Ovis aries: one gene and its partners. The protein of the gene in region 1 purifies or fractionates together with the protein of each later gene. This does not show direct contact. Links are inferred from orthologs where the notes say so. Each region holds a gene or a part of one and is shown on either strand. Other genes may lie near its edges.

Region 1 (3,978 bases):
CTCTCTCCTTCCTTGATTTCCATGATGCTATTCCTGAGTCTTGATTCTCTTCATCTTCTCTGCCACCTTTATGGGCTTTCTCTAATCTCCTGTAAATGACGCTGTTCCTTCAGGTTCTGTCCCCAGGCTTTCTCCTTACATTTCATATACTCTTGGCCTCTACCTCTAAAGACTGCTGCTGCTGCTAAGGCGCGTCAGTTGTGCCTGACTCTGTGTGACCCCACAGACGGCAGCTCACTAGGCTCCCCCGTCCCTGGGATTCTCCAGGCAAGAACACTGGAGTGGGTTGCCATTTCCTTCTCCAATGCATGAAAGTGAAAAGTGAAAGGGAAGTCGCTCAGTCGTGTCCGACTCTTCGCGACCCCATGGACTGCAGCCCACCAGGCTCCTCCACCCATGGGATTTGCCAGGCAAGAGTACTGAAGCGGGGTGCCATTGCCTTCTCCGACCCCTAAAGACTCCCAAATGCTATCCACAGCACAGAAGCCATCACCCTTTAGTTTCTTCTAGGATGTAGCAAAGCCTCCATTAATTTGAGGCTCATCTTTCCACCCAAACCAGTTCTCTAATCTCAATTCCCTTCTTCCATTAACTGCACCTCTGGTCAACCAAATCAGCCATGTTACTCTGTCACTATCTTATGATTATTCTTGCTGATATTCTATACCACTGGTAGTTAAACCTGTTTGGTTGTATATATTATTGAATGTATATATATCCATGCCACAGCCTTAATTTAGGAATCCATGACTTCTGAAAAGCATCAGTAAAGTCCCACTTTGCTTCTTCACTTCCAGCCTTCCCAATCAATCTATCTGCCACCTTCTCTCGAGCATGAATTTTCTAAAGAACAAGTGTACTACCTGTTCATAAAAACGTTCAACAGCTGTCTACAGTTCTCAGTATAAATTCTGCTCTTTTAAGACTCATTTCTTACTCTTGACACTCACCTATTAACACATTCGTGCTTTCTATCTGCTATTATAACTGAGATGCTTCTGGTATTCAGTTTTAATGGCTGACTGAGGACTCACCAGCACGACTAAGCCTCAAAAGTACTGTTGGAAAAAATCACTAAAGTTTTAGTTGTCATGTAACTTCAGGAGCTCAACTACAAAGTGATATGATAGAAAGTACACTGAGTTTGGCACCACCATACCAAGTTTCATATTCTATTACTAAAAAGGAAAGGGTTAAAATTGTTCTAAACCTCCCCCCTACCCCATCTATCAAGTGAAAGGATTAAGCTGGATGATCTTAATGTCTATTAAAGCTAGCAATTCTAGCTTTCCAGTTAAGAGCACTAAAACTTATTAGGAACAAGCAATAAGGTTAATTTACAGCACTTGACAACCCACTCCAGTATTCTCGCCTGGAGAATCCCATGGACAGAGGAGCCTGGCGGGCTATAGTCCATCGGGTCCCAGAGTCCATCCAACACGGCTGAAGTGACTAAGCACAGCACGGTTCAGTTTCTGCGGATCCATTAACATACACCATCCATACACAATAACCAACTTTATCAACTAGATGAGGGCTATCTTCGATGGATTTACCTATAAGCTCTCAATGTGACTGGAAGACCAAACCAATGGCACGTGAAGACAAAACTGTAAACTTAAAAGAAGTCAAACAATTGCCCAAAGGAAGGTTACCTTCAGTAAAAGACCTAGAGTGACCTAAGAATTTAAAAGCAAACAAACTCGCAAGGCTAGATCAAGGTTTTGATGTCTTTAAAGCATCAAAAAGTCTCCATACAAACTAACTTTCCTAATTCGAGAGTTCCTCCCACGGCCACTCTCCAATGATCTGCTTTCTCCCTTCTGGACGTCGTTGCCATTTGCTTATATATCCAAAGCAAACGCCTCGGATTCCTGTTGCTCCGGCAGGTGCTATAAATAAAATCAGCTAAAGGCTCTGATCGTAAACAGCCGACGGCGATAATGAGTCTCGAGTCATTACGGCTTCGTGGGATTCATCCCGACGCTCTCCCTCCCTCCCCAGCGGCGCGCACCGGGCTCCAGGCGGCGCGTCGAGGGAGCGGCCGGGAGTCGCGGGCCACCAGCGCCGCGAGGTCGGGTCCCTCCGCCTCTACAGCGGCGGGGAGGGCGTGAACTGAGCCTAGCTGGGTTTCACTCGCCTGTCGGTGCGAAGCAGCGGGCGGAGAGAGCAGCGCTGAAGCGAGACCGGCCCCCTCTCCATCCCTCGGGAGCGCGCCCCGGGGCTCGAGCGTGGAACGGGGCTGAGATGGCAACCGCTGGAGTAACGGACTCGGCCCCCGGGGCCTCTGAACCTCGGGGACGGGCCGGGCTGACGGGCCACCTGGCCTTCCCCGCGCCAGCCCCAGCGCCGCAGGTGGCCGTGGACACAGAAGTGCCGGGCGTCCCAACCGACCCCGAGGGGGCATCTCCCCAGCGCCGCCCGCCCGGGCCGGCCTCCCCGCCCCCGAGGCCCGGAGGGCCCGCCCGAGAACCTCTCCCGGACGCGGACGCTGGCGCGTCCCCATCCCCAAACTCAACACCCACCTCCCCACGGGGCCCCGCCGGGTCCGCCGGGCGGACGCCCAAGAAAGGGGCGCAGCAGGAACCCCCGCCCAGCGGGGGAGAGCTAGGACTCGGCCTCCTCACCCCCAGCTGGAGCGCAGAGGACGCGGAAAGTGACCTACTACTGCCCACGCACCTGTCTCGCGGGCCCGTTTTCGGGAGTGGCAGCTCAGGTGTCCGAGCCGCTGCCACTTGCTCCCCGCGTCTCCCCTAGCTCAGTCCAGCCGCCGGCCGCGCAGCAGCGACTGCTAACCGCGCGTGCGCGTGCGGCCGCGGGCGGGGAGGAGGCGGCGGCCACAGGCGCGTGCTGCGCGCACCTGCACCGAGGGCCTCAACCGCCGCGGAGGCACCTTCCCAACCACGCGCCGCGCGGCCCCGCCAGCCGGTGGTTGCGTGCATCCGGCTCCTCGGATGGCCTGGGAGGAATTCCTCGCTATCCATCCGGAGGCCCTTCCCTCCCGCAGAGCGCCTGCTCTCTGCAAGCAGTGAGCTTCTACCTCCTAAAGCACATAATTGGGCCCTGAATTTTGAGTAAATCACATTTTAACAGCGTCGAGTTAGTACCCCAGGCCTTCCCTGGGGTTCTAGACGTTCTGATGAGAGGTCATTGTGGTCAACAGGGAGCTATTCTTCCCTGAAAGTGTATGATATATTAAATATTAACATAATAAATAGTACTACATGGTTTCTTTTTGAAATGCTACTGATAAGAATTGTTAACCTTTCGTTGTGTTTCAGTTCAGTCGCTCAGTCGTGTCCGACTCTTTGCGACCCCATGAATTGCAGCTCTCCAGGCCTCCCTGTCCATCACCAACTCCCGGAGTTCACTCAGACTCACATCCATCGAGTCAGTGACGCCATCCAGCCATCTCATCCTCTGTCGTCCCCTTTTCCTCCTGCCCCCAATCCCTCCCAGCATCAGAGTCTTTTCCAATGAGTCAACTCTTCGCATGAGGTGGCCAAAGTACTGGAGTTTACTGAGCTCTAAACGGTTTCATTATACATTCATTATGTTATTGAACGTCCCAACAACCTTGGTGAAAAAAACTGAAGATAGTTATTTGCCTTTGGCTTGAAGTATTAATAAATAGTGGAAATGGGGTTCAAATCTTTTCCAGAGCCTGTCATTTTAACTCACACTAAAAGTTAAAATATAGCATAAACATAGTAGTGAATCACAACTTTCTTTGCCCCATAGATATTGGATCATACATCCCTTACTGCTTATTCTTGATAGTAAATTTTGACTTTGATTTTGGTATTATCATGCTTTCAATTTTATTGTAATAATAAAATACTTAACTTGTGATATCTCTGTTAAGAGTCTCAGATTAAGGGAATTGATGGAGCTCCATGCATAAAATGTTATTACTGGCTAGATATCAAGATCACTGAACATTTCTCACACAGCATCCGTGATAAGGCCACTATATCT
Region 2 (4,020 bases), on another chromosome or scaffold:
AGGACCAATATAAGACTGAAATGGTAACTACACTGGCCATTATTTTGCTGGTACTTAACAAGGGCCTTTGTGTACATTTTTTTTCTCTAATCTTCAAAAGAACTCTGAAAGATGAGGAAGCTGAGGCTGACAGGCCAGGTGACTTCTTCAACAACTGCGCATCTAAACCATGCCGGTGTTCTTTCTCATACATTGTGAGCGGACCAAAACCACCAAACAAAACCCTGAAATTTGGGGAGAACTAGAAGTGATTTGCTATTTAGAGAATGTAATTTAAAATAACAAAAACTTTCCCAGGAAGCATACAAGATCAAGGTATATAATAATATCCTTCAATAAAAAAAGCCTTTAAGACTTATGCATAATACAGACTGTTTTACTACTCAACTAAGGGCTTTGATGAAATAAATCTGAAAATATCTATACAGTATTTTCAATAATAAAAATGCTCTAAGAAAAGGGAAATTACCAGCTACATAAACCAGCTACATAATCTACTTTATAAGGACTATATAAGGAATTTTGGAAAAAAAAGAATAGATTTGAGAGGAACAACAGAAATATGAATAAAATGTTTTTTAAAAAATGTTTTCTTCTGAAATGACAAAATACCATAACGGAATGAAAGGAGTAGTATTATCCTTAAATGATGCCAGGCTTTTAAACAATCGATACACTGTAAGGGTTGGGATCTCAGTAATTATCTCAATGAATATTATGTCACATTTTCAAACACTGGGGCAGGTGTAATCTTGTATAAAATGACTGTATGAGATCAAATAATCATATCCAAAAGAAATTACATACTTTCTGTATTTCTATTTCAACTTTTCGACACTATGATCACATCAATCTACATGGTACTACTAACTCTTAGCATTCACAAATTCCATCAATGTAGTCATTATACACTTGTAAAGGCAGACTTCAAGCAATCCAAGTTATAAAAGAAGTTAATTATTAATCAAATCTCAAAGGCATCAATGTCATCTCAAAAGAACGATTTTGTACCCTGAAGAAATAAAAAGTCTTATGGGGTCATAAAAAATAGAATTACAGAAATCAATAGTTTATAGGGATGGCTTTCTGATCACAAAGTGTAACTACTTACGCAAGACCCCAAAAGGTCTTTTCTAGATAGACATCCTCCACAGAAAAAACAAGTCTCCTGTTTTTCTCTCCCTCTCCCTCTTTTAGACTCTGCCCACTCCACCCCCCCTTTTGATGTGACCCTCTTCCAAAAGGTTACATTATAAAAGGTGGATTTATGCTATTATCAGGAACAACTTGTCCCAAGATTTAAGATTTCTATGATCTTTGGACATTCAAGATTGCAGGTACAGAGCTTTAATAATTCATAGACCACAAACACGCTGCTAAGGCTTTCCCTTCAAACACTAACGTTCCCACTCTTGGGAGCCCTAATGGGTATACAGAAGCCATACAATACAACCTTTAAAAAAAGGCACGGATGGCAGGTTCTCTCCAATCCCTCCTGAGAGATGTCCTCAACTAAACCTTCCGCACATTCCCTTGTCCGGACCTAAAAGCACAACTGTCATTCAGAGGGATGGTAATTGGTAAGCGTGGGTAAGAAAAAAAAAAAAAAAGGCATAACTAAATATACAACTGGATGGGGAAGGTTGTTAAAAGCAGCCTCTCCTGTATCACGTAACTAGCCTAACCCGCTGCAAACTTTCAAGATATTAAGTTACATTCCTCTGCAATTCCACCCTTGACAGCTGAATCCAGAGATGCCAGCGAGTCATGCACGTCCATTCCCGCCGCCTTACCCGTGGAGAGCCGGCGGCTGTGTCCCGCGGTCAGCGTGAACCAGAGGCTGGGGAGGAGGGGAGGGCTGCAGGGAGAGGGCCGGGAGAGCTCACCTTTTCCAACTCATCGTGGAGCTCCGCCAGGCTGGGCCGGAGCAGCTTCTCGCCTAGCTGCGCTGCCGTGTGCCGATAGTGGTCGATCCTGGGCACGGCGTCCATAGTGTTGTGGCCGAAGGTGCGCAGGTAGTAGGTGTTGGTGTGGGTGTCATAGTAGTAGTGCTGGTGGTGCCCGCTGCCGCCGCCGCCCGAGTGCAGGCTGCTCCCCTCGCTCAGCACCGTGTCCCCGCCGTTGTGGAAGCTCACGTTGGGCCCGTCGCCTCCGATCCCTGCCGCATCAGACACGCTCTCGTCCGCCGACGAAGAGGCAGCCGGGTCCACGAAGTTCACGCGGAAGCGGCCCTTGGCTTCCTCGCTGGCCTTAGCCTGCCCGCTTTCGACGCTGGCTTTCCCGTCCGCGGGGGTCTCCTTGCCTCCCGCTCCAGCGCTAGCCGCCGCCGCCGCCGCCCGCCCGGCATTCTCGGAAACCAGATCCACCTGGAAGCGGCTCTGGCTCGGGGTGGGCCCCAGGGGTCTGCCCAGCCCGTCGCCGCCCGCCGCGGCGCCCTCCCCGCGGACCCCACCACCGCCACGGCTCACAGCTGCAGCATCCTCCGGCGCTGAGGGCACGGCTGTGCCGGGCAGGTCCATCCCGGCGGCGGCCAGCGGGGCGGCTGGAGGCGTCTCCCCAACCCCGGCCAGCCTAGGGGCGCCGGAGGAGGGCGCCGTGGGCCCCGGTTCCATCGCCGCCCGACCCCCGGCGGACCCGGAGAACCTGGCGGACCTCGAGGGCTGCACGCCCTCCGCGCCCCCGGCCGGCGGTGGTAGCGGCCGCAACACCAGGTGGGGGAGTCGCACTCACAGCCGCGCGCTCGCCGCCGCTAGCCCGAGCCGGCACGAACGCCTCCGGCGGCCGAGTCTGCGCGCGAGTGTGGCGGGCGCGGGGCGGGCCCCGCTGTTTAAAGCCTCGGCGGTGCCGCGGCGGTGGCGGCTCCGGCAGCAGCACGCGGGAGGCGGGGCCCGCGGCTCCTCCGCCCCTCAGCCCGCCCACCCGCGGACCGGCAGAGGCGCGCGGCAGAGGTTCCCTCGGTTCCCGGTGGGTCCAGGCTTCTGCGCGGTTCCACGCAGGAATCGCGTCCGGCCAGTCCGAGCCGGGCCTCCGGCAGCACGAGCTGCGTGATCGGGGAGCGGCCGCCAGCCGCCGTCGCCGGGAAGATCTCTGCGCGGCTACCTCCTCTTCCGTCGCCCTCCTCCCACCCTTCCACCTCCTTCCCCCGCCCCACTCTGCGGCGGAGAGGAGCTGGCCCCCGGCCTCCTCCCTTCCTCCCCGCCCCTAGGGCCGCGCGTCAGTGGGCCGGCACCCAGGCCACGGCGGACCAGCTGCGGACGGCGCCCAGCCCGAGCAGGCTGGAGAAGGGGCGCACGGGCCGTGCCTCGGCGCACGCCGATCGCTGATGCTCAGGCGCCAACTGCCACCACGGCGGCGGCTCCGAGGGATGTCGCCCGCTTGCCTTTTTTTTTTTTTTTTAAGCTCTGAGCTCGCAGTACGGGGCTCAGACGGCGAGATCTCGCGAGATGCTGCAGGGCTACTGGGCTGATTACCCTGCGGCGCTTGGTACCCGAGGCGATGCTGGAGCCGCTGACCGCCCAGCGCGCCTGCGGGTGATGCGGCCGGTTTTCTCGTCCATCCCGCAGGTGCTTCCGGAGTTTTAGGCAAGATGCGCCCGGGGCGAGGCCTGCGCGGAGATCTGGCTCGCCGCTACTCCCCCCACTCACTCCAGGCCTGCGCCTTTGGGGAGGAAGGATTTCCTCTGTACTGTCTTTGAGGCGTTTACCCCCAGGCAGCGTTAATTTGCATAATCTGTTACTAATTCTTGTGGTGATGCAGTGGGTGTGTTCACTCTTACAATGACACCTTCATTTTAAAAGCTGTGATGTTTGAAGACGAGAACGGAGCCTAGTTGTGATAGATAACTTATTGTATCAAGACGATTTTTAACTTGAAGTTGTTTTTTTTTTTTTAATGAATATATTGAGAGCAAAAACTAACAGTGGAGCACTTGCTTGGAAGTTTCGACGTGGTTTAGGTTATGAAGAATTCTATTTCAAGTAAAATAGTAAGGTACCTCTCTCCTGTCCAGGCCTATTTTTT
Region 3 (4,054 bases), about 35 Mb from region 1:
AGCATATTTTTTAAAAGAAAAAAAAGTTGCTGCTCTGAGTGGTACAGTTACTATTAAGCCCTCCTGGGCTTAATAATTTTCTTTTTTGGCCATGCTGTGTGGCTTATGGGATCTTAATTCTCCAACCAGGGATCGAACCCATGCCCCTTGAATTCAAAGTGAGGAGCCCTAAATCACTGGACCACCAGGGAATTCCCTGGAAACTGTTAAAATAAGAAAATTAAACAAAAGAAAAATAAGTTTAGGAAAGCAAGACAGACTCACGAGCGAAGCACACAAACTGCATGGCACACACGTATTCAAACATCTGCAGTGAACATCTTGATAGTCGGAGACTTTACTTGCCTGATGCATTTTGGCCCAGAGAGGAGTTGGCATAAATTTCCACATGAATGAGCAGATGTGCTAAACAGGATGTATTACGAAAGGCTGAAACAAGAAGAGTTTGGACAATACACGGGGCCTCCAGGAAGGGATCTGTCTCATTAGAGGAACATGACTGCAGATCCCTCTTCAACCTCACGGTCACTTCCAAAGAATTCTGAAAGGAAAATATCACTGTACTTTATATGGTGACTCAAATGGCATCTATAAGAACACATAAGGTTAAGTAAGCTCAATCTGCCTCCATTCATTTTACAAAAGGCAAACTGGACCAATGACATCATTCTGCTCAATTTTACCCTGTAAACCTACAGCAGTACACAGGCCCTGATTCCTAATCCTCAGCTGAATATACAAGCAAACAAGTTGTGGCTGCTTGTTGTTTGGTCACCAAGTCGTGTCCAACTTTTGTGACTCCATGGACTGTAGCCCGGCAGGAGTCTCTGTCCATGGGATTCTCCAGGCAAGAATACTAGAGTGGGTTGCCATTTCCTTCTCTAGGGGATCTTCCCGACCCAGGGACTGAGCCCAGGTCTCCTGCGTTGGCAGGTGGATTCTTTACCACTGAGCCACCTGGAAAGCCCTTTGGCTGTTTAGAGAAAGCTGAACACAGGTCTGATAAAGATATTTGTCTGGCACCTTTATTATCCTACTGGCAGAAGATTAAATACACACAACTAAAAGTCCATGGAACAGGCCCTGGTTCCTAGGGTGCAAGCAAAGTCTGTCTGTCTCTTTTATGTTCGGAGTTGATGTTTTGCAGATACTAGGCACTCTATGAAGTATCTATTAAGTGGAAAATATTTCATTTCTCCAGGCTTGAGTGTCCTTACACATAAGCCCAGAGTTGGGTGAGACCAGCAATTCATGAAGCTCTTCTGAGTCACAGGTTCATTTGATAATCTGACAGAAGCTGGAAAGCCTCTCATCAGAAAAAAATGCACACACACATAACTTTATACACAATTTTAGAGAGTTCACAGCTTTTTTTTTTTTTTTTTTGGCCTGTGCCATGCAGTTTTTGAGGTCTTAGTTCCCCAACCTGGGAATGAACCTGGGCCCTTGGCAGCGACAGCATGTTGTTCTAACCATGGGACCACCAGGGAATTCCCTCACAAGCTTCTTGAAACTCGTCCAAGAACCTCTGGGCTGAATGAGTGCCTACAGGATCAGATAGCCCACAGTTTCATGGTGGTTCCAAGCACTAAGTTCTATCTTGTCTGATTAAAAGAACACTGCAGGGGAAGTTCCCTGGAGGTTCAGTGGTTAGGACTCGGCGCTTTCACCGCCTTGGTCCAAGTTCAATCAATCCCTGCTCAGGGAACTAAGACCCTATAAGCTGCTGGGCGCAGTCAAAAAGAGAGAGAGAAAAAAGCAACACTGCAGGAGCACCAGATGCAGGACTCCATAAATGCTACTGAGAAGGTTTCCACCTCTGGCCTTACCACAGTCCGGGTGACAGTCAAACTCCAGTCTCCTGTCTCATTGTTCAGCTCGCCACAGGTAGGAACTGGCAATAAACCTACAGGAGAGATTAGAATGCAACAGAGCATTGCCCAGCCACCAAGGTATGCACTCTGGAGTCAGATTTCCTAGGATGGAACACCTTTCCAAGCCTAGGACTGGACTCTTTGCAAGCTGTGTGACTTTCGACCTGTGACAACCTCTCTGAACTTCAGTGTCTTCATTTGTTAAAAGGAACTAAAAGGCATTACTGTTCTTATTAGGAAAATGAGGTGATGTATTTAAGTACATGGGAGAGCTCAGTGAATGCTAACTTGTAATTTCAAGCTTTCTTTTACTCATCCTGTCTGTTGGTCCTCTGGTCCACAGCAGCCCCCATCCCGACTTTGCAGGGGACAGCTCCAAGGGACTCAGAGGATGCCACCTGGCCAGGCTTCTTGGGCGGCCTGAAGCTGGCCCAACCTCCTCCCTCCCCACAGGCTCTTTACCCATCTCGTCCCGCAGCTGGGTCAGGGACACAGTCACATCCTCGGTGCCTCCGACCAGAGACGCGCTGACCACAGGGCCGGACATGCGGATGACAGAAGGAATGAAAACTAGGCGGGAAGAAAGGGACAAGGAGGAGTTAATAGTTGCAGAACCGCTGGGTGATGGCTTTCTTTGCGGTGTCTTCCGCAGCTCTGGCGGCAGTCCCAGATTTGGCCTCAAGAATCGTCCTCTCCCTCATCCCCGTCTTGCAGGCCCCTGCCCCGCCTTACACACCCAGATCTCCCCTTAGCGGCCTCAAGACGCCTTGCAGAAGGAGGAGTCCCAAAAGCAAAGGGACCGGCGGCAACAAACGCATGCCTGGGCCTGCACAACAAGGCTGCGCCCGCCTTAGAAGACTGGAAGCGCGGGGACTCGGAAGCACTGCCCGGGAGGCCTGGCCGCCACCATCTTGTCAAGCGAACGCCTGGAGCTATGGCAACCACCAATCGGCCGCCGGTCTGACGAAAGGCGAGCCGTGATTGGACCAATCACGAGCAGAGAGAGCCCGCCCTCAAACCCATCCGCAGCAGCCTAGCCCTGCCACAGGCCTTAGGTCCTTCTAGGGGCATCACTCCATGTAAAGTATCACGAAAAAGTAGGAGTCCGCGTCTAGTTTAAAACCCCGAATTTCTCCAACATGGAGTTAATTCAGTCATTCTGGAGTTAATGCATATGCGAGGCCGCAGGCTCTGGGTTCTAAACAAGCAACTTTTAAACTTGATTTTTTATGAGAATTTGGGGGGAGGGACAAAAAGGGGGTGAAGTTGCAGCGCTGTAATTGTTCTGTTGTATTGTTTTTATTATTCTCCGTTTTTCAGAGGTTTTGTCTGTTTCTACCACACAGAGTGAGACAGTGAAGGATAGGGAAGCCTGGCGTGCTGCAGTCCGTGGGGTTGCAGAGTGGGACAGGAGTTAGCGACTGAACAACCACCACATAGAGCTCTCAGATCTCTGAAAGTAGGTCTTCTCAAAACTACACACACGAAGTTTTAGCACCATTAGAACAGATGCAAAATTACCAAAATTCTGCCTGGGGAAAAAAAAAATTCATTTTTCTTATGTCAGCAGCCTCAAAGGATCACAAGCGTTATCATAGCTCAGTGACTTAAAGGTGCAGGGTCTGAGGTTGGACTGCATGGTTTGAATTTCACCTTCATGTTAAGTGATCTTAGGAAAGTCACTTAACCTCTCTAAACTTAGGTTTCCTCAGCTTTATTTCCGCCCCCTCATCTTTAAAGGAGGTAATAGTCTCTCCCAAATAGGGTTGTGTGAGAAGTGAGGCAACACACCTAATAAGCTTAGCCTAATGCCTGATGTACAGTAAGTACTCAATAAATGTTCACTCATTTTGTTAGCTATTAGATGAGCGGTAAACCAATTCACGGGCAGAATCCATGTACGGTGCATAAAAAATCTTCTATTAAAAACTTCATACCAATCTATAGTTGTATAGTATTTGTAACAATATTTTTGTGTATAGTTTTAGCAAGATTGAAATTAAAGTTCTTTAGAGTTGAATAAAAAATTGACATGTGAACAAACCCAGTTAAAAAGTACACAGTTGAAGATGAATGAGCATGAAATAACCAGTAAGAAGAAATAACTCAGGGAAATATGAAAATTTTAATTATTTTATTATAAAAATTTATACAAAATAAACCATAAACACAACAGCTAA

The links. The genes of interacting proteins can lie anywhere in the genome.
Region 2: the proteins of CLGN (region 1) and SLC12A2 purify together in Homo sapiens (co-immunoprecipitation; 3 studies listed by BioGRID and IntAct, with this or other methods). This does not show direct contact. The link is inferred for Ovis aries from reciprocal best matches to the Homo sapiens genes CLGN and SLC12A2.
Region 3: the proteins of CLGN (region 1) and TCTN2 purify together in Homo sapiens (affinity purification with mass spectrometry; 3 studies listed by BioGRID and IntAct, with this or other methods). This does not show direct contact. The link is inferred for Ovis aries from reciprocal best matches to the Homo sapiens genes CLGN and TCTN2.

Annotation. Positions count from the first base shown.
Region 1 is NC_056070.1:17,352,844-17,356,821, reverse strand, and holds the start of CLGN (calmegin), read right to left. Parts: upstream 2,804-3,978; 5' UTR 2,680-2,803; intron 1-2,679. UniProt on the Homo sapiens protein: Functions during spermatogenesis as a chaperone for a range of client proteins that are important for sperm adhesion onto the egg zona pellucida and for subsequent penetration of the zona pellucida.
Region 2 is NC_056058.1:23,632,630-23,636,649, forward strand, and holds the start of SLC12A2 (solute carrier family 12 member 2), read right to left. Parts: upstream 2,803-4,020; 5' UTR 2,613-2,802; coding exon 1,887-2,612; intron 1-1,886. UniProt on the Homo sapiens protein: Cation-chloride cotransporter which mediates the electroneutral transport of chloride, potassium and/or sodium ions across the membrane. Plays a vital role in the regulation of ionic balance and cell volume.
Region 3 is NC_056070.1:52,066,009-52,070,062, forward strand, and holds the start of TCTN2 (tectonic-2), read right to left. Parts: upstream 2,803-4,054; 5' UTR 2,693-2,802; coding exon 2,611-2,692; intron 2,445-2,610; coding exon 2,337-2,444; intron 1,907-2,336; coding exon 1,830-1,906; intron 542-1,829; coding exon 346-541; intron 1-345.